Linked DNA regions of Arabidopsis thaliana. The protein of the gene in region 3 interacts with the protein of the main gene of each other region in a pairwise test. Each region holds a gene or a part of one and is shown on either strand. Other genes may lie near its edges. The genes, in order: MPPBETA, AT4G00870, JAZ5 and AIB.

What was found.
Region 1: the proteins of JAZ5 (region 3) and MPPBETA interact in binary tests that used the Arabidopsis thaliana proteins (3 or more experiments, as listed by UniProt).
Region 2: the proteins of JAZ5 (region 3) and AT4G00870 interact in a two-hybrid assay, tested with the Arabidopsis thaliana proteins (one study listed by BioGRID).
Region 4: the proteins of JAZ5 (region 3) and AIB interact in a two-hybrid assay, tested with the Arabidopsis thaliana proteins (one study listed by BioGRID).

What each region holds. Positions count from the first base shown.
Region 1 is NC_003074.8:363,762-369,434, reverse strand, and holds MPPBETA (Insulinase (Peptidase family M16) protein), read right to left. Parts: upstream 3,887-5,673; 5' UTR 3,812-3,886; coding exon 3,140-3,811; intron 2,648-3,139; coding exon 2,483-2,647; intron 2,393-2,482; coding exon 2,255-2,392; intron 2,176-2,254; coding exon 2,024-2,175; intron 1,932-2,023; coding exon 1,823-1,931; intron 1,697-1,822; coding exon 1,598-1,696; intron 1,433-1,597; coding exon 1,367-1,432; intron 1,216-1,366; coding exon 1,104-1,215; intron 996-1,103; coding exon 901-995; 3' UTR 596-900; downstream 1-595. Other genes in the region: AT3G02100 (UDP-Glycosyltransferase superfamily protein), read left to right, coding at 1-49, 148-595; AT3G02080 (Ribosomal protein S19e family protein), read left to right, coding at 4,274-4,357, 4,761-4,851, 4,937-5,120, 5,225-5,297. UniProt on the Arabidopsis thaliana protein: Catalytic subunit of the essential mitochondrial processing protease (MPP), which cleaves the mitochondrial sequence off newly imported precursors proteins. Preferentially, cleaves after an arginine at position P2.
Region 2 is NC_003075.7:361,410-365,478, forward strand, and holds AT4G00870 (basic helix-loop-helix (bHLH) DNA-binding superfamily protein), read right to left. Parts: upstream 2,301-4,069; 5' UTR 2,231-2,300; coding exon 1,970-2,230; intron 1,832-1,969; coding exon 821-1,831; 3' UTR 524-820; downstream 1-523. Other genes in the region: AT4G00872 (Plant invertase/pectin methylesterase inhibitor superfamily protein), read right to left, coding at 2,738-3,032, 3,107-3,327.
Region 3 is NC_003070.9:5,954,602-5,959,424, reverse strand, and holds JAZ5 (jasmonate-zim-domain protein 5), read left to right. Parts: upstream 1-1,913; 5' UTR 1,914-2,354; coding exon 2,355-2,532; exon of another isoform or gene 2,533-2,746; coding exon of another isoform or gene 2,747-2,837; coding exon 2,838-2,928; intron 2,929-3,048; coding exon 3,049-3,372; coding exon of another isoform or gene 3,373-3,439; exon of another isoform or gene 3,440-3,539; coding exon 3,540-3,771; 3' UTR 3,772-4,270; downstream 4,271-4,823. Other genes in the region: UBP1B (oligouridylate binding protein 1B), read left to right, coding at 4,600-4,704. UniProt on the Arabidopsis thaliana protein: Repressor of jasmonate responses.
Region 4 is NC_003071.7:19,090,453-19,094,998, forward strand, and holds AIB (ABA-inducible BHLH-type transcription factor), read right to left. Parts: upstream 2,922-4,546; 5' UTR 2,436-2,921; coding exon 735-2,435; 3' UTR 501-734; downstream 1-500. Other genes in the region: SDH4 (succinate dehydrogenase subunit 4), read right to left, coding at 1-16. UniProt on the Arabidopsis thaliana protein: Transcription activator. Positively regulates abscisic acid (ABA) response. Confers drought tolerance and sensitivity to ABA.

The DNA.
Region 1 (5,673 bases), on a different chromosome or scaffold from region 3:
GCAACCCTCAGTTAGAAGAGCTAGCAATTGGTCTAGAGCTTACCAAGAGGTAATGATTTGGACATAACCGGGTTTGTGTGTTCCGGTTTACCCTACTTACTCTATGCGTGTCTATTATGTAATAAGTTATGTTGATCCATTCACCAGGCCAGTTTTGTGGGTCACTGGTGATCAACAACCAATCAAACTTGGGTCGGATCGAGTCAAAGTGGTGAGATGGGCTCCACAACGGGAGGTCCTTTCTTCTGGAGCCATTGGGTGTTTTGTGAGCCATTGTGGATGGAATTCAACTCTGGAAGGAGCCCAAAATGGCATACCATTTCTATGCATCCCTTATTTTGCAGACCAATTTATCAACAAAGCATATATATGCGATGTGTGGAAGATTGGATTAGGACTTGAAAGAGACGCACGAGGAGTGGTTCCGAGGTTAGAGGTTAAGAAGAAGATCGATGAGATCATGAGAGACGGTGGAGAGTATGAAGAACGAGCTATGAAGGTTAAAGAGATTGTGATGAAAAGTGTTGCAAAAGATGGAATATCTTGTGAGAATCTTAATAAATTTGTCAACTGGATCAAATCACAAGTGAATTGATAGAGTTTCACAAGAAGAAATGAAATGTATCCAATTCAAGTTTTCAACCAAACATCAAAGAACTTATTAGTATGTGTATGGGAAAATTATGAAGAGAACAAAAAAAACACACACAGAGGATCTCTAGCATTTTTCCAGTAGAGGACAAAGAGTAAATGGTACACTTATTTTACCAGCGATGATGGTAAATTATGAAGATACAGTAAGAAAAACTCAAAAATAATGAATCCATCATCACCTCGTTCTGCTCTCTCCGCCTACGGAATCTCCCCGTGGGCGAACCTTGCGATTCAGTGACCTTTATTTCAGAGCCTTAGTACCGGTTCCAGTAGGTTCTGCGTCTGAATTTGTTGTAGTCTGGCAAATCTTGGATTGGACCAATAGCTGAGATTGCAATGTCCTGCACATAATCCCAAAAATCACCTTAATCACTCTTGACGTTTGTACTCTTGTTTAGCAGTCTAATCCTTGGAGGATAGAGAGAGCAAGAGGGAGAGAGAAATAGAACTTACTTTGTCATAGATATATTTGTTGGCAACACGTTTTACCGTGCTGGCATCAACAGCATCGATCCTAGCAAAGAGTTCAGCGGTTGGGATTCTACGCCCATAGGTCAGCAGCTGCATTTAGAACAAAAATCCAGGCGTTTTATTAGAATGATTTTGAAGATAAACACCAACTATAAGGAAAGTCAAGGTTTGTTATCTTTGACCAATGCATTTATAAACTTATAAGTTCTAAATTAAGATGCTTAAATGATTCATCGCATACCTGACGACCAATATCTTCAGCAATTGGGCTGGTTCCATCCATGTGAAGTAACAATGATGATTTCAGCTGCAGAGAAATTTAAAATCAGTTGGCATTTAAAATCTATCTACAAATAAGTAAGGAGTTCGAAGAAACAGGAGGAAAAGAAAAAAAAAACTTTAAACAGATCACATTTGTAACTAGCTTAAAGCTGAATCTTGGGAAAGAGAGAAAGAACAGTTGGGCGTTTACCTGATTTCGTGCACGTGTCACATCAGCGTCTGAAACTCGGTAGGCCAGCTTGGTTACCTCATACATAATGGCATATGATAAATCATCCAAGCAATCGGCCTGAAAAAAGTACCTTACAAGATGTTAAAAGAGATATAATACGAGGCATTCATGAGATGAAACTGCTAATATTGACAAATACAAGAAAGAGATGAAACTAAGATAGCTATGGAGTTCTGGGTTGACCTTGGCAACTGCATAAACGCCGAACAGTCCAGTATCCTTGTAGTTAGTGTTGAATGCCATTATGCTTTCTGCTATTTCATTAATGGCAACCCTCTGGGTCAGGTCAGAACTGCACATAGAACCATAATGTTCATCAACACATTGCGAAATAGCTTTTCATTAAATCCATCATTAGAAATATTAGCCAGAGAGTAAACTCACCCCACGTGTTTTCCACCACCAACATTTTTGTTCCACGAACCCAACATAGTTTGCATAACCATAAGAGCAACGGAATCTGGATCAGTCCAAGATGCTCCCTCAAAGGCAACAGCAAATTGTGCAAGGGGTAGGTCGTCATCAATCATTCGGACCTGAGAAGAATTTCACGGACTAAAGAATTTAGAAAGATGGAACATTGCATATAACAAAATCATATGGTTGTGTCCTTACCTCAGAACCAGTAAAACTAGCAGGTTCATTGGCAACCAGTTGAGAAGTAGTTGTTGGATCAGACGACAACTTGGTAAATAGCTTCTTCACTTGCTCAACAACTTCCTCATGCTTAACAGCTCCTGCAGCAGCAATCACCTGAAAATGTTTTGGATGAACCAAGATAAGAATCCTAAAAAATTCAATAAGTGATTGTAGGAAATGATAAGAAGTAACCAAAATCTATACCATCCTGGAAGCAGTGTAGTGAGTCTTAATGTAGTTCTGTAGATCCTCTCTGGTGATCGATTTGACGTTCTGAGCAGGTCCCAAAATAGTTCTTCCAAGGGGTGTGTATTGGAATGCAGTGGCATGTAAATGGTCAAGAACCACTTCATCGGTTTGTCCCTCCACCTACGACCAAACCAATTATCAAAAAACTAAAGCTTAATGTGTATTCTATCTTTAACTGATTAAAGAAACAAATAACTCTAACCAACACGTAGAGCAGAGTACCAAGCGCTCTAGTATCTCCCTTCATGCACATTTCCCAACAACAATACGACCAACATATGACTAAGCCAATAAAACCAAAACATGCGAGAGATAATCCAAAAACAGAACAAAGTTTTCATTTTTAGAGCAATGGTTTATATAAACACAATAACATCTCTCTATAGAACATGTGCTTATGCCAATACAACCTTAAAAAAAGGGAAGATAACTTAAGAACATACTAAAGTTTTCATTTTTAGGCAGGCACACGGGAAACTGAAACTAAGGGTATTGATCTAAAAAAACACAAACTACGGTCCATAGTACCACCTCACTAAAAAAAAACGAAAGATAAATCGAGGACAGAACAAAAAGTTTAGTTTTTTAAGTACAGAGATAACAAATACATACCTCTTGCATTTCCCTGAGGATGACATCTCGTTCGCGGTTAATTCTCTGTTCCTCGAACTTAGAATTCTGTAGGATATCAGCCAAGACATCCAAAGCCTGGTTCACATTGGAATCCAAAACCTTAGCATAATAAGTGGTCTGTTCCCTCGATGTATACGCGTTCAGGTGACCACCAATATCTTCGATCTCTTCCTCCAACGCTCTCACTGTACGCCTATCCGTGCCTTTGAATATCATATGCTCCAAAAAATGAGCCGTTCCGTTGGTCTCATCGGACTCAAACCGAGATCCAGCGTCGATCCAGACTCCAACGGTGGCGGTCTTAGCCGAGAGATTTGACTCAGTAGCGACTCGTAGACCATTGGGCAAGGTAGTGACACGAGTCTCCGGAGCTGACAAGATGTGATTGTGGGAAGCGAGGATCGGATGTGGAGATGCGTATTTAAGGAACCTCTTATCAGGATTCTCGAGCTTCTTGATCTTATTTTTTATAATCTCAGCCGCGTGGTCGTATGGCATAAGATGCGGCGGCGGTGGAGATAGAGCCGTCGGAGATGCGGAAGCCGGCACCGAATCGATAGCTGAAAACGAAGAGGAAGATCGTGTGGCTTGAGTGAGGAATAAACGCCTCTGAGATCGGCGAGCTAGGGACAGTAGATTCTTCATCGCCATGGCTGATGATGGCTTCTCTTCGCTCTCTCAATCTCTCTAGGGTTTGATTAAAAAGCCAAAAATGGCAGAGACGACTTGAGATGCGAACTAATAGCCAGTGGTTAAGCGATTATAAAACGACGTCATTTAATGTTACTAATTAAGAACGGTGTCGTTTAGGACATAATACTAGTCAACTGATATAATAAGGCCGTAGTAGGCGCATTATCGTATCAAAGAACATTATTCATACTGGTTAGATAGTAAGGCCGTATGAAGAATTAGGCCCATTAGTGTGGGCTGAGAACGGGTTGGATTTTTTGACCCGGATATGGGGAGAAAACCCTAATCGAAATATCGTGGCCGTATATATAAGTTTTGTTATTGGAGAATAAAAACCCTAGTCTTTGCGGAGAGAGATTCAGCTGCGTTGGGCAAAATCCCAGACGAAGATCAGTGATTAGTCTTTTGATAACTTGAGCCATGGCAACTGGTAAAACTGTGAAAGACGTCTCGCCTCATGACTTCGTCAAGGCTTATGCTTCTCATCTCAAGCGATCTGGCAAGGTTAGTGGATAAAGTCTCTTCTTTTTTGTTTGAGTAGAAATGTTCCAAGCTTTATTTGTATGTACTCGAATAAAGATGGATTAAGCTCAAATTGCAATGATTTCCATTAGTTCATAGATATTTCTGTTGATTGTTGGCATTTCTCTATAATACTTTGAATTGTGTAATGTCTGTTGAATGTATTGAAATTTTGTATATGTTGCTAATATTTATTGAATCACAAGTGTTACTCTTAGTATTTGTTAATAGACAGCTTAAGATTCAAATGCTTGGGATTAATATTGTGATTTGCTTTGTTACGTCTGTTGAATTAATTTACACTAGCAATTACAATAGCTTGAATGTCAAGCTCCACTTTTTACAATTGTTTTGGTTTTCACGAGACCATAATTGTTTGTTTCAGATCGAGCTTCCCACATGGACAGACATTGTGAAGACCGGAAAGTTGAAGGAGCTTGCACCATATGATCCTGATTGGTACTACATCAGAGCTGGTTAGTTCTCTTTCATCCTAGTTTGTCTCTTATTATCTCTATGCGTTTATAAAGTTTTCAATTAGCAAAATGACTTCTTGTGCAGCATCTATGGCAAGGAAGGTTTACCTGAGGGGAGGACTTGGTGTTGGTGCTTTCCGTAGAATCTATGGTGGAAGCAAGAGGAACGGTAGTCGCCCACCTCACTTTTGCAAAAGCAGTGGTGGTATTGCCCGTCACATCCTCCAACAGCTGGAGACAATGAACATTGTTGAGCTCGACACCAAAGGGTAACATTACTACTACTACTACTACTACTACTACTACGTTAGAGGTGTTTCTCTTTAAAAATGTTTTTATGCTAATACTAGTATCACTTTTGTTCTTCTTTCAGAGGAAGAAGGATCACTTCCAGTGGCCAAAGGGATTTGGACCAGGTTGCTGGCCGTATTGCAGTTGAACCTTGAAGATCTTAATGTTCTTTTTTGTTCTTCTTCTACTTTTGAGGCCATTGTGCTTTTAGTGTTTATCTTTACTTTTAAGAATTGTTACCATTTCATTCTCAAGACTTGCGCTCATAATGTTCAAAAATTTATCTTTTTGGCGATGGCTTTGGACATTGAAACTTATGTCTTCAACCGTATTTTTGTGTTCGTCCGATTTAAGGATAATAGGATATGGTTTCTTCATCCCTAAATTGCTAATTTCATCCTTCTTTAGTGCCACTAATCTCACTTTTATGCTTCACTTTTAACCGAAATTTCTTTGAGAGAAGAGAAGCAAAGATTAGATATCTTCATCACATTATATTCTTTGTTGTATTCTCTCCATTCATAGGCAAAG
Region 2 (4,069 bases), on a different chromosome or scaffold from region 3:
ATAGACACATGATAGTTTGTTGCATAACATATTTTAATTTCTTTTAGAAAAACATAAAACCATGATCATCAAATAAAACAAAACATTTTTGTCTCATTAAGTAAATGCAAAATTGTTTAGTTCTGTTTTATATGTGAATGTTAGATACAGAATGATTACTTTTTCAAGCACAAAAACATTTTTTGCAATTAGTAATTAGCAAACAAAATAAGAAAGATACAATTCAATTGCATTATTGTACCCTTTTCTTCTCTTTGCATTATTGTACCACTTTTTTTTCTCAACATTATTGTACCCTTTATTTTTCTGTGCATTGTACTAATATTTTTTCCCCAAATTAACCAATCAGTGTCTTAATATAACAGTACGTCCAAGAATAATTAATATAAAGCATTGGTAGTTCATTACGTAATTGACTTGATTTGTTAGCAAGCTATCACTGAAGAGTGGTCCTAAATATTATAGGACAAGCGTGTGTGTGTCTATAATTCCTCCGTCTTCTCTATGGTTTTCAAACTAATATTTCCAAATGATCAATTAATGAGTTGTTTCTTTTAAAATATACAGTCTCTATATTGTTTTAGTAAGACAATATACCAAACACTTTGCGCTTTTAGCGAGCTAGTACGTACGTACGAGAAATAAAGTAAAAAAGTAACACATAAACTACGTATCAACGAGATCAAACTTTTGATAAAACAACATTAATCGCTAGAAGGAATTTGATTTTTCTAGTACTTATCAAATAAAACAAAAGGTCGCAAAAAAAAACAAAAATTATTATCACATCCTATGTTGACGTCACAAAACAAAGAAATTGTTATAGGCTTAGGGTTCGGACAAGTGTGGTCCTAAGCCTATCTTCCGATCTTAATCCTTCTGGAACCAAAACAACAACATCTTGAACCATAACCTGACTCAAGCGCGACGCGTTCGCGTGTTGTACACGACAATCCATTTCCATTAACGCACTCATCAATGCCGACGTAGGATGGTTCACATTCTCTGTCTGAACCCTAATTATGGCTTCTTCTCCGACGATCTTCACTTGCACTTCCAAGTCAGAGCCTCTGTTTGATTTTGAAGGTTTCTGGTTAACTTGGTACTCAACGGAAGACGGAGACGTATTGCTGCTGCTGTTGTCTAATTTATCTGTCTCCGTCATCTTCATTTTCTTGATCTCAGTTTCGAGATCATCGATTTTGGATTTAAGACTTTCTATGTACGAAACTGCGTCGGATAAAAGTGACGCTTTGTCCATTCGTGACACTTTTGGTACGATGGCACGTAGAGCGTAAAACCGGTGGTTTAGCTTCTCTCTCCGTTGCTTCTCCGCTTCCACGTGGGACAAAACCGCCGGATGATGTTTCTCTTTCGTCGCCGCAGCTACCCTTGTCGTCTCAAGTTTCCTCCTCCGTTTTCTTTCCGACCCGAATTGCTGATTTCCGCTTTTCGAATGATCTGATACCGCCGGTTTAGGGTAAGAACCGGTTTGGTTAGTGTGTTTTGTTGTTTTACCCGACCCGAATATGGACTTGACTCGGTTTATAAAGTTCCGGTTTTGTATAATTGATTCAGACGAACCAAGTTCGATAATGCCATTGTTGATGGGTATGGAGACCAATGTGTGTACCCCGTGAAAACCGGCTTCTTTAGCCCTCTCGTAGTTGCTAAACCGGAGCTCGTCGGGACCGGTTAACCAAACCAAAGATTCATCGGATACTTCCTTTCTCGGCGATCTATCTTCACCGTAAAACGATGCGGCATAGAACAACTCCAGATCATCTCCACCGTCCATCATCAGCTCACACTCGATGCTGTTTGTTGTATACTTAAGAAAGAAACAAAAACAAAAAATCAAGGGTAAGGAAAATTATATTATTTTCTTAATAGAACTTTTTTAAGAAGTTGATTTAAATAAATTTTGGATATTTTGATTAGATAACATAAGAGGCAAAGAAAAATGAACATTTTCTTGGGAATTGTTGTTCTTGTTTCCACAGAAATGACCATCAACCCAAACCAAGTAAGACCGGTCCGATTGATCATCAAACATCTTTTGCCAAAAAATGACATAAGCCCATCGGTCCGGTGAGGTTTCCACGACAAACCGGAGTTTTTGTTGAAGTACTAAATCCGGAGGAGAAGAGGACACTATGGCTGCAGGAGTTTGTTGTGTAAAAGAGAGCAAAGAAGAGGACAATGATGGAGAGAAAGTGAGATTATACATTTCTTTCCAGTGATCCCGACCAAAGAGAATTTAGAGGGTTAGAGAAGACAAGTGGAAAAGGATGAATAAGATTCTAAATTAATAGAGAAGACGATATTATAGTAGTAATATCAAATTTTCATTAATGATTTTCGTGAATTAAAGTTTATGATAAATATTCCAATAGTAGTAAGTTAGTCACGTGAAAACTGAACTGTTTTCCTACTTTAACGTTATAAGAACAACAATTTATCGTATAGTGGTCCAACTTTGATGAAATAGACAATATATCATTCTTTGCCAAAAAAAAAAAAAAAAAAAAGACAATATATCATTTAGATTTATATTGAATGATGGTTCAAACGAAAACTTATTTTGACAAATTTGAAAAGAAAAAAAAAACATGAGAGCTACAACAAATGGATATATGTGACTTTATAAATTTCATAAAGGAAATGATTTATTCAAATTGGGGTAAGCATTGATCGAAGTTGAGTTATATAGAAAACAATAAGGAGTTATTACTTATTAGAAGCGATCAATGATCCTCATAGCAGCGTCAGAGAGTTGAGCATAGATATTGATTTGACTAAATAGTTGGGGAGACGTGAACTTGACACGTTTGAGATTGAACATACATCTCAGAGGAAAGCCAAGCGCAAGCTTTATCGATTTGTTGGTTTTATCATAATCACCGGTTTTCAAACTTGTTTTGGCTTCCGACAGTATTGTAGATGCATTCGTCGACAAGTCTTTTTTGCAAATCTCCAGAGCTGTTTTCACTTCACCTTTATCTTTCTTTGACGATAAATTCGTTATGTTACTACACAAATGAAAAAATTGATATATTAGAGGATATTTCTGTATATTGGTTATAATTTGTAAGTGAAAACTTGCTTGGTGATGATATGGAGGTGGGATTCAAGACAGTTTATGACGATGCCAGCTATGCCTATATGGTCGGCGTGAATGGAGTTTGGGTCGGATTCAAGACATTGCATGCATATGGCTGGGACGTCTGCATTGTGGCATTCATTTATCATCATGTCCTTCTCGGCGCATATCGACATAGGAGAGATCACCAGTATTAACAGCAGAAACTTGATCATCGTTTTCATGCTAAGTATGATTGATTATAGACTATATTTCTTTTTAAGGGGTGTGAATTACTTATATAAACTAAGAATATGGTTGGTCATGACTCATGAGTGATCTCTTTTACATTACACGTGTTTAACGTCTTTAATTTTACCTTTAAAACTGACCATTGAAATGCAAATTGATGTCTTATTTTACTTCATTTGGGTAGAAAAGCAGATTATAGTTCTCTTTTTGAATTATAATTTATACATTTTCTTACTCCATTCAATAATATTATGATCTATTACCCTTTAGTTTATGTTTTAAGTTTTTTTAATACATTTATGGATATTATTAGACATATAAACAATATAATAATTAAGATGTTTTGGCTTAGAACCTCCTAGTATTAAAAAAAAAAGTAGGGTAATTAATGATGTTTTTTCTTAAAACAATAACTAAAAGTAAGTAAAAGTTTTTTTTTTGTTAATTTTAAATTTTACTAATTGTAAGTAGGTAATAATAAAATTTAAATAAATTAGTGTAATTGTTTTTTTTTATATATACTTAGCTGAATACTTCCGTAAACATGTTTATAATACAAAAGCCCAATTTTGGCCCATAAACTTATAAAACATGGGTTTTTTTTTGTCGTTATAAAACATGGTTTTAGTTCACGAAGAATAATATATTCCTACCGCATCTAATCTATTAAACAAAATCACGTTATTGTATTTGGTAGTGAGTGTTGTTATTCTGGCCATACAAATGGTCAAAAGC
Region 3 (4,823 bases):
GGAGATAGAGATTAATGGTTGTCCATGGGCGGTCACTTTTTCGCAGGCCATATGGTGGGGGTGGAAATGGCGTTACGGTAACATCTTTGGCGAGAACAAGAAGTGTCGGGATCGGGTTCGTTTTATTAAGGATCGTGCGTTGGATGTTTGGAAGGCGCATGTGCACAAAATGGGAGTGACGACGCGGACAGCTAGGGAGGAGAGATTGATTGCGTGGTCTCCGCCAAGGGTGGGTTGGTTTAAGCTCAATACTGATGGTGCTTCGCGTGGTAACCCGAGACTAGCTACAGCAGGTGGAGTAGTTCGAGACGGGGATGGAAATTGGTGTTATGGGTTTTCGTTGAATATTGGAATTTGTTCGGCTCCGCTTGCGGAACTATGGGGAGCATATTACGGTTTAAATATCGCTTGGGAGCGCGGTGTCACACAGTTGGAGATGGAGATTGATTCGGAGATGGTAGTGGGTTTTCTTCGGACAGGGATTGATGATTCGCATCCGCTGTCCTTCCTGGTGCGGTTGTGCCATGGCTTACTTTCAAAGGACTGGTCAGTCCGGATTTCGCATGTGTATAGAGAAGCTAATCGTCTCGCGGATGGGTTAGCTAACTATGCTTTTTTTTTACCGTTAGGTTTTCATTTGTTTAATTCTACTCCGGATATTGTTATGTCGATTGTTCACGATGATGTAGCGGGGTCTGCGTACCCCCGGAACGTTCAAGTGTAATTTTTTTAGTTTTTTCAGTTTTAATAAAAATGGGGGTTCGCCCCCCTCTTCTACAAAAAAAAATATCACTTTCAAAAGGACCCATTCGCTACCCAATTTTTCTAAACCCCAGAACGTTTTTTTTTTTTCCAAAACACAACAGCCACTTGGTCTTTGCAACAATGCAAGTAGTGTAGTGGCGTAGCTAGGGGTAACGAGTTACCAAACCGGTTTGACAATCTGGTTCGATCAATTGGCCGATCACTCGGTTTGCTCTAATCTTGCTTCATTTAGTCCCATCAACAACACTTATTAAACTAAGTCACATCTAAACTTTTTATATCTTTGGTATCATTTTCCCCGAACACGTTTTTTTGAACGAGTCGTAGTTTTGAAGCAACCAACGAACGTATTGATTATTATGGGCATCCGTGAAAGGGGCAGTTCGGTCAATTGATCCATCAATTTTATTTTTGACCAAACTGATTAGGTGATCTTAAGATTTTTCCTTTTTTCTTTCTATAGGAAAGTGGGAAAAACGCGATTCACACGATACTGTTGCTAGTGCGTCGTACAGATTGCGATACGTGTCACAATCTTGACGGTCTGTTCTATTTAAACCACGTGTTTTAATCAAAAAACTTCTGTCGGATCGTATCGGAGACTTTGAATTTTTATGGCACATGAAACTTCGTAGGGGTTTGATGGTAGGATCCCACATTGGTCCACTTACTATTCAATTCGCACCGCCGTTAAGTTTGTTAACTAACGTGAGGAACGTCGCGGTGATGTAAAAAAAGGCCATGAAAGTTGTTTCTATTACGATGATGCCATCACTGGAGTTGGTAATGTGCTCTTGTGGAAGGGCAAATTTTGTAAATACGATCAAATTTCGAGTCTTTTACGAATTTGTGACATACGCCGTTTAATAACGTTTGCCGTCGGTTCTGAAATCTTTATTCTTTTTCTCTTTTATCGTTACGCGTAAGGAAAACGTGCGGTAAATTCTAACCGAAAATATATATAAAAAAGTAGTCCAATTTTGAAATCTGGCCGTTGATGGTAGACAACTAAACTGTGCCAAACAAGAAACAAGAGGTGAACATATTTTTATGATAAGACAGGGCAATAAATTTGTTGTACCAACTCATAAAACAATAGATAAATTACTTGCACAATGATGGATTATTAACATTAATTTTCTTACTATTAATCATGGATGAAAATTCCTTTCTTCACACTAGATATAGTTCTTTAACTAGTTAAAAATGCATGCGATGGAATATTACTAAATATGATATAATCTCATGGCTTTATGTAAGATTTGTTTTTTGGTTTTTTTGGTTGTTGTTAATAAATTTATTATTGAGAAGTTTAATTCTATTTTGGTCACAATATATTGAAATATTTTTAAGAAACTAAAAAGTTCCTATTTATTTTTGTTTTCATTAATTTATGAGAGGCTATTAAAGTCACAGAAACTTATTGGGTGAATGAGTTTATAAACACATGAGCTATTGAGCTAGTAGCCTCTTGTACTCTTCCATTTTACGCGCAATCCACGCACCAACAAAAAGAAAAGAAAAGAAGAGATAAAGAATATCTTTAAAAAGTAAGTGTGGAGAATTCTTTCTTCTCAATAAACAACAACATGTCGTCGAGCAATGAAAATGCTAAGGCACAAGCGCCGGAGAAATCTGACTTTACCCGGAGATGTAGTTTGCTCAGCCGTTACTTGAAGGAGAAGGGTAGTTTCGGAAACATTGATCTTGGCTTATACCGAAAACCCGATTCCAGTCTCGCGTTGCCCGGAAAATTCGATCCACCAGGTACTTTTATTATCTCTTTCTTCTTTCATGGCCGCCACTTGGTAATAGTACTTTAAAAACTCAGTTCTGTTACTACTTGCTTTTGCCAGATTTACTACTTTTGTATTGTTTCTTCATTTGTAAGTCAGTTCCTTACTTCAGAAATAATTTCTCCTTGTAATTATGAAGACAAGTAACAAAAATAACGAATAAGTTGATATAGAAATTGATTGAGATGTGGTTAATAAAATTCCAAAGATATAAGATGCTATATCATTTTTCTAAAGTTATTATAGTTCACGAAAGTTTTTATTCTCTTTATGCAGGGAAACAAAATGCGATGCATAAGGCAGGGCATTCCAAAGGCGAACCCTCTACCTCATCAGGAGGCAAAGTCAAAGATGTTGCTGACCTCAGGTCTCTCCTTTTGTTCCTTGGGAATACTTGTTGTTTTTGGTTATTGGAGATTAGAGAAAAGGATAATCGGTTAATCCGGTTAAAATTGGTTTTGTTCTGAAATCTGTTTTTGGTTTGCAGTGAATCACAGCCAGGAAGTTCGCAGCTGACCATATTCTTCGGAGGGAAAGTTTTAGTATATAATGAGTTCCCCGTAGACAAAGCTAAAGAGATTATGGAAGTAGCAAAACAAGCCAAGCCTGTGACTGAGATTAACATTCAGACACCAATCAATGACGAAAACAACAACAACAAGAGCAGCATGGTTCTTCCTGATCTCAATGAGCCTACTGATAATAATCACCTAACAAAGGAACAACAACAGCAACAAGAACAAAATCAGATCGTGGAACGTATAGCACGTAGAGCTTCCCTCCATCGATTCTTTGCTAAACGGAAAGACAGGTATTTAACCTTATCATACTTTTTGAAACTTGTTTTAATGTTCCAAATTTCCAATCACTCTAGTTAGTTCAAAACTCAAAAGTTTAAGGATCCTCCCTCTGATATAAGTTCTCCTAAATTATCCTCAACAAGCCTCGTAATTTACGTTATTAATTTTTCTGTTGCAGAGCTGTGGCTAGGGCTCCGTACCAAGTTAACCAAAACGCAGGTCATCATCGTTATCCTCCCAAGCCAGAGATTGTAACCGGTCAACCACTAGAGGCAGGACAGTCGTCACAAAGACCGCCGGATAACGCCATTGGTCAAACCATGGCCCATATCAAATCAGACGGTGATAAAGATGATATTATGAAGATTGAAGAAGGCCAAAGTTCGAAAGATCTCGATCTAAGGCTATAGTAATATTTGCTAAATTTCTTGTAGGAACTGAGTTTTTAGATTAACGTTTCGATTTTTCTGACTTATCTAAGTGATTTTATTTTGCTTTGTACTACAGTATGTAATCTTATTCTAACTTGAATATTCATTCATAAACACAATAGACGATAGTAAAGTTATATTATAATTAGTTAACTACGTACAACACTTGGGAGTTAAATTACATAACGTTAAGCGAGAAATAGCAAATTAGACAAGAGGAAGAATATTTAGGAGTTGTGAATTGATCTGACTGCAATAACATGAAGAGGAATCTGACTGCAATCGTAATGCGGGTAAAGATGGTTGAAAGTGATCAGAGCTCCTTTCTAATTTATTTAGGGTGTAATTTATGAAAATGATTATTATTGGAGTGTATATCAAGTTTTCACTAAACTCAGGGGTGTTTATTGTAATTAGTTGTCAGGTTCAAGTTCATTGAAGGCGTGTCTGATTTGGACAGTGATTGGGCCTGAGCCATAAGTTTAACGTGGGACGAGTTCATTGGCTGTTGCTTTTTAAATTTTCTTACAGCCTGTGACTTTAGCTAATCGATGTGTAAAAATAATAAATCCAATAAAATTCGTAAGAGCCACTCGATTGCTTCCTTCGCTTTCTATCAAGAGACTTCCTTTTTTTTTTCCTGTTCTTCATTTTTTTTTTGTTATTAATATTTTGTCATTTTTCTTACATTTTTCTCGAACACCGAAAACACTTTCGAACCCTAAAAGACAGAACACTGTGTCAATTTTCATTACCTGGGAACGAAAAGCAAAATCAAAGACAATAATTTTTTCCCCGAGAGAGAAAATGCAGAGGTTGAAGCAGCAGCAGCAGCAGCAACAAGTTATGATGCAGCAAGCTCTTATGCAGCAACAGTCTCTCTACCATCCTGGTCTCCTTGCCCCGCCACAGGTTTGCTCTATTCTTCTTCCATTTCCATGCTCGATTTGGGTTTCTAGGCTCTTTTTCCCAAGCTCGATTTCACTGGTTTTTCTCTCTTTTTTGTTGTATAAGGTCCAAGATTAGGAACT
Region 4 (4,546 bases), on a different chromosome or scaffold from region 3:
TGCGGCGGAGAGACATCGTGGCCGAGGAGATAATCTGACGGAGAAGGATTGAAATTGGATCTGATCGGAGAAACAAACCCTATGTGAAATGAATCGGAAGCACAATTCTCGTCGTAGAGGTGAAGATGCATTAATGGAGTTGGGCTTTATACTGGGCTTTTCAGAACTACCAGAAGCCCAAACCAAAACCAAAATAGATTATTATGTGCTGCATTGCATAAAATAATGGACCAATGGAAAAAAAATAATTGATTCTCATTTTTAAGTAATTTTTAGCTCAGTCTCTTGAAATGTCAATATATCATATTCATGACCAATATATAAGATTTGGTCACTTCAAAATTCAAATGTACATGAACATTCTACAAGATAATTAATCAAATATTTACCTGAATAACATTGATTGGATAATATTAACTTGTTATAACTATTGCTTTATTTGAAAAAAAAAAAGAATGGATCCCAAATTGTAACTGAATAAAGCATCCATAACAAAGAAAGAGAAGTCAAATATCTTTCATACTTTATTTGATTTTCTAAAGTATAGGAAATATTTTCCCAAGATACAAATATGTGAATCAATGGTCTAAATAAAGTTAATGAATATACTTAAACCGGATTCCTTTCACTATAAGAAAGAGAAAAGAAAAAAGGATTTTATCTATTTCTAGTTGAACCTGAAAGTTATCTATACTGAAACAAGAATAGACAAAAGCTTCACCATCATGTGAAACTTATATATCACCAGAGACCTGTGAACTAGAAGAAGGCAATGGCGGTTGCGTCGAGCTGGTCTCGGGGTAAAACGCTGCTATAAGCTTCTCTTTCGTCAATGGATCCGACCCGTTGTTAGACTTTATCACAAAAGTGTGAAACATTGTGTCTTCAGCTAATGATAACTTAGCCTCCATTAGACTAACATTTGAGTTTCTCATTGCTTGTATGATTCTTGAAGCTGGATGTGAATCCAAAGGCGAGATTACTCTTACAACAACCTCTTCATTCATAGCTTGAATGTCAACTTCTGGACTTTCTTCTACTGTTATTGTGTTTGATTCTGATAAGCTCTTATCTGTTCCTACTCTTTCATCTTCCATTATCTTGACTTTCTCTTGAAGCTCTTTGATGTAAGAAATTGCGTCTCCAAGTAGAGAAGCCTTGTCCATTTTAGAAATGTTTGGAACAACTGATCGTAAAGCGTAGAATCTTTGGTTAAGCTTCTCGCGTCTCTGCCTCTCAGCTTCCACATGGTTCAATGGCTCTTCTCTTCCGTTTGCAGGCTTTCTCCCTCTCTTTCTCGGTCTCTTCTCATCAACAACAGAAACTATTCCTGCTCCTGCTAACAAGCTCACTGGTCTTTTCTCTGTACAAGATTCTGATTTTTCTTGCTGAGTGTTTGTAGATGGATTCGAAGAAGCAGCAACTGATGATCCCGCAAACTCAATCTGCGTCTTGTAATTGTTATTATCTACAACCATATTCACATTCTCTAGCACTTTCACATCATCCCTCTGAGGTGTGTAACCAAATGTTGGACCTTTATTGTTATTATAGCCTTCCCAACTTTGAGGAGTGAATCTCTCATCCAAGTTTCTTCTCACTTCGAGCTTCTTAGGATACGCGTGAGCTCCACTCAAATCCTGCCCGAAAAGCTTGTGAATCCCTCCAGTCATGTTAGTGTTTGAAGTCACCATTACTGGTTGCGTAACTCTCCTCATGAACAAAGCTTGAACAGACTTAACCAAGCCAATGTTTTCAGGCAAAGACCAAACAGAACCAAGCTCAAGAACACCAGCATCAGTAGGAACCATAACGATCGTTCTGATTCCCGCAGATTTCGCCATAAAAGACCTGAAACAATAGTCAGACTCAGAGTTAACTGCATCAGAGAGCCACACATGTTTCCCTGAAGAATAACACCTCCCAGGACCGCCTTCACCGTGATTGAAGAAGAAATACATGGAAGCTAAGAAGAAAATCTCAGTAGCAGTAACTTTCTCTAAGCTCAAAGCATAATTGTCTTCATCAGATCCACCAAACAACCTATGAAGCTTCTGCAACACTCTCTTCCTCATATCTTGCCATGTCTCTTCCTCTGCCCCCATGTTGTTAAAATTATAAGACCTAACAACTTTTGATTCCTCTTCCTCATTAGGCTCTCGACAACACCCATCTCCCCAACCTAAGACTTGTTGTCCGGATCTAGACATGGTTTGTTGCCAGAAAATAGCGTAGTTCCAGCTGAAATTCTCCGAGTTTGGCCAATCAACGAGACTAGAGAGCTTCTTATTCAGAGTATCATCAGTTCCCATAACAAGAAAGAGATTCTGATTCGAATTAGAGTTTGCTCGAAGAAAATCAGAAGCTAAATGCCCTAAAACAGCACTAACCACCGATTTATCTTCATCATCCCAACCTAAATCACTCATATTCATCTTTCTTTATCTCCCAGATTACACCAAATCCTACCAAACCCAAAACCACTTAAACGGAGAAGAAAACCAAACCTTTCTTCTACACAACTCAATGATTGACTCAACGATGCTTGAAACCATATAAACTCGAGTCTCTCCAGCTTCAAGATTCCAGTAATCAGATTCTAAGGAAGAAAAGGTCGGAGCTTTGAACAATTTGAAGAATACCCACCAGGAAAAAATGCAAACCCAGTGATGAATCACGCTCAAGAGAAGCTTGCGCCGGTGAAGAAATATCTCGCCGAAGAAAGATTCCAAAAAGCTTTGATTTTTACAGAGAAATTGAACAATTGAATGAGAGTTGCAACTAGAAAAGTCTGAAGGTTGAAGAAGAAGAAGAAGATACAGTTAGAGAGGGAGAGAGAGAGAGAAGGAGACAAGACTTGCTGGGGTAATTGAAGTTTGTATGAAAGCTCTTTTTAAAAACCCAACCATGGTTACTTATGCACGTTAATTACTTTGGTTATTCAACTTAACCATGGTTAATAATTACTCTGATTATTAACTCTGTTTCCTGATTTTAAGTTCACTTACTTTGATTGTTTCTCTCCGAATAAAGATAGAAAATCTAAAATCTCTTTTCAAATCTATTTTGCAAATGGATTATCTCACCCCTAAATCTGGCTAGTCTTTGAATTTGTCTCCAAATCCGATTAATTTCGTAAAAGTAATACATACTTGATGGTGATTTTAGTGAAACAACGATATTTGCACTTGGTAAATTTTAGAGAAAATAGTGTTTTGTGTACACACGTGTGTATGTACCTACGTGAGAGATTCAAATTATAGTAATGTACTTAAGAAGTATAGATCACATGGTCGAAATATTTTAAAATTTATTATGTACTAAATAGTACTAAATTAATTATTTGTTTTTATTTTTTTCTCTACCAATAAAAATAACTCACATGCATAAAGAAACAAAGAAATATTGTCTGAATTGTCTGGTGGGGTTTTGGTTATTTCAGACATCGTTATTAACGTGGGTCCATTTAATTAATAGTATAGTCTGAGTATATTATTCTTATCAATAGTATATATATAGTCCTTAACTTCGATATAAAAAATGGTACGTTCTTTCTTTATTTAGATTTTTATGGAAAGAAAATTATTTGTCGCATAGGATTTGCGTGAATCTCATGCCCAACAGTAACGTTCAACAAAAAGGGTCTCGTTCTGTGAGAGAGCACCATGTGATGGACTTTTAACCTACTTTTCTATCATCATGTGTTTGTAGTTTTCTAATTGTTTTCTCCCCATTAATTAAAAACTTTTTTTATAATTACATGATTATATTCATAACCTATTTTAAAGTATTATCGCATGAGATAAGCCTCACCATGTTTTGTATGGGGATATTTTCTTATAATAATTTAAAATGACATCATTAAAATTTGCATATAAATAAAGAAAGAGATTCGATAAACCTAATTCAAACTTAGGGATAGATAGTACAATGAAAACTCGTACATTGAAATGTATACGTTGATATACTAAAGCTTTGTAAAAAAACGTGATGATAATGTACAATATTGTGACGTGACATGCAAAATTTGACCTCTTGTTTTGTAGATTAGGATGATAACGCGATGATTGGTGTCTTTTGAGTAATTCGGAGTCGCACCAACTTATAAATTCTTTATCTTCTTAAGTTCTAATAGAACAAAAAAACTCATATCTCATATTTTAATTAGTACTAAAAACTATAACCTAATACTGAACGTGTTTTGCGTAGGCTTGTTTAATACTATTTTTTTTTGTCTATAATAATTAATACTCTTTCGTTAGAAGAGAATAGATTAGATACATTGCTTCAAAAAAAAGAAAAAAGAAGCTAATAATAGTTACAAAACAAAATTGGCTTTATCATTATGAATTTCACTTATTTATCTTTTTAAGATATGTAGAGAACCTAATTTAAATTTGAATTTGTAGATTGAATTTCGGTAATTTTATATAAAATAAAACAAAATAGTTTTAACAAAATTCAAACGAGTGTTATATATACATTAGTGAGATTATGCAACGAGAATAAAAAAACAATAACGGATAAGAGTAGGGCTCAATAATCG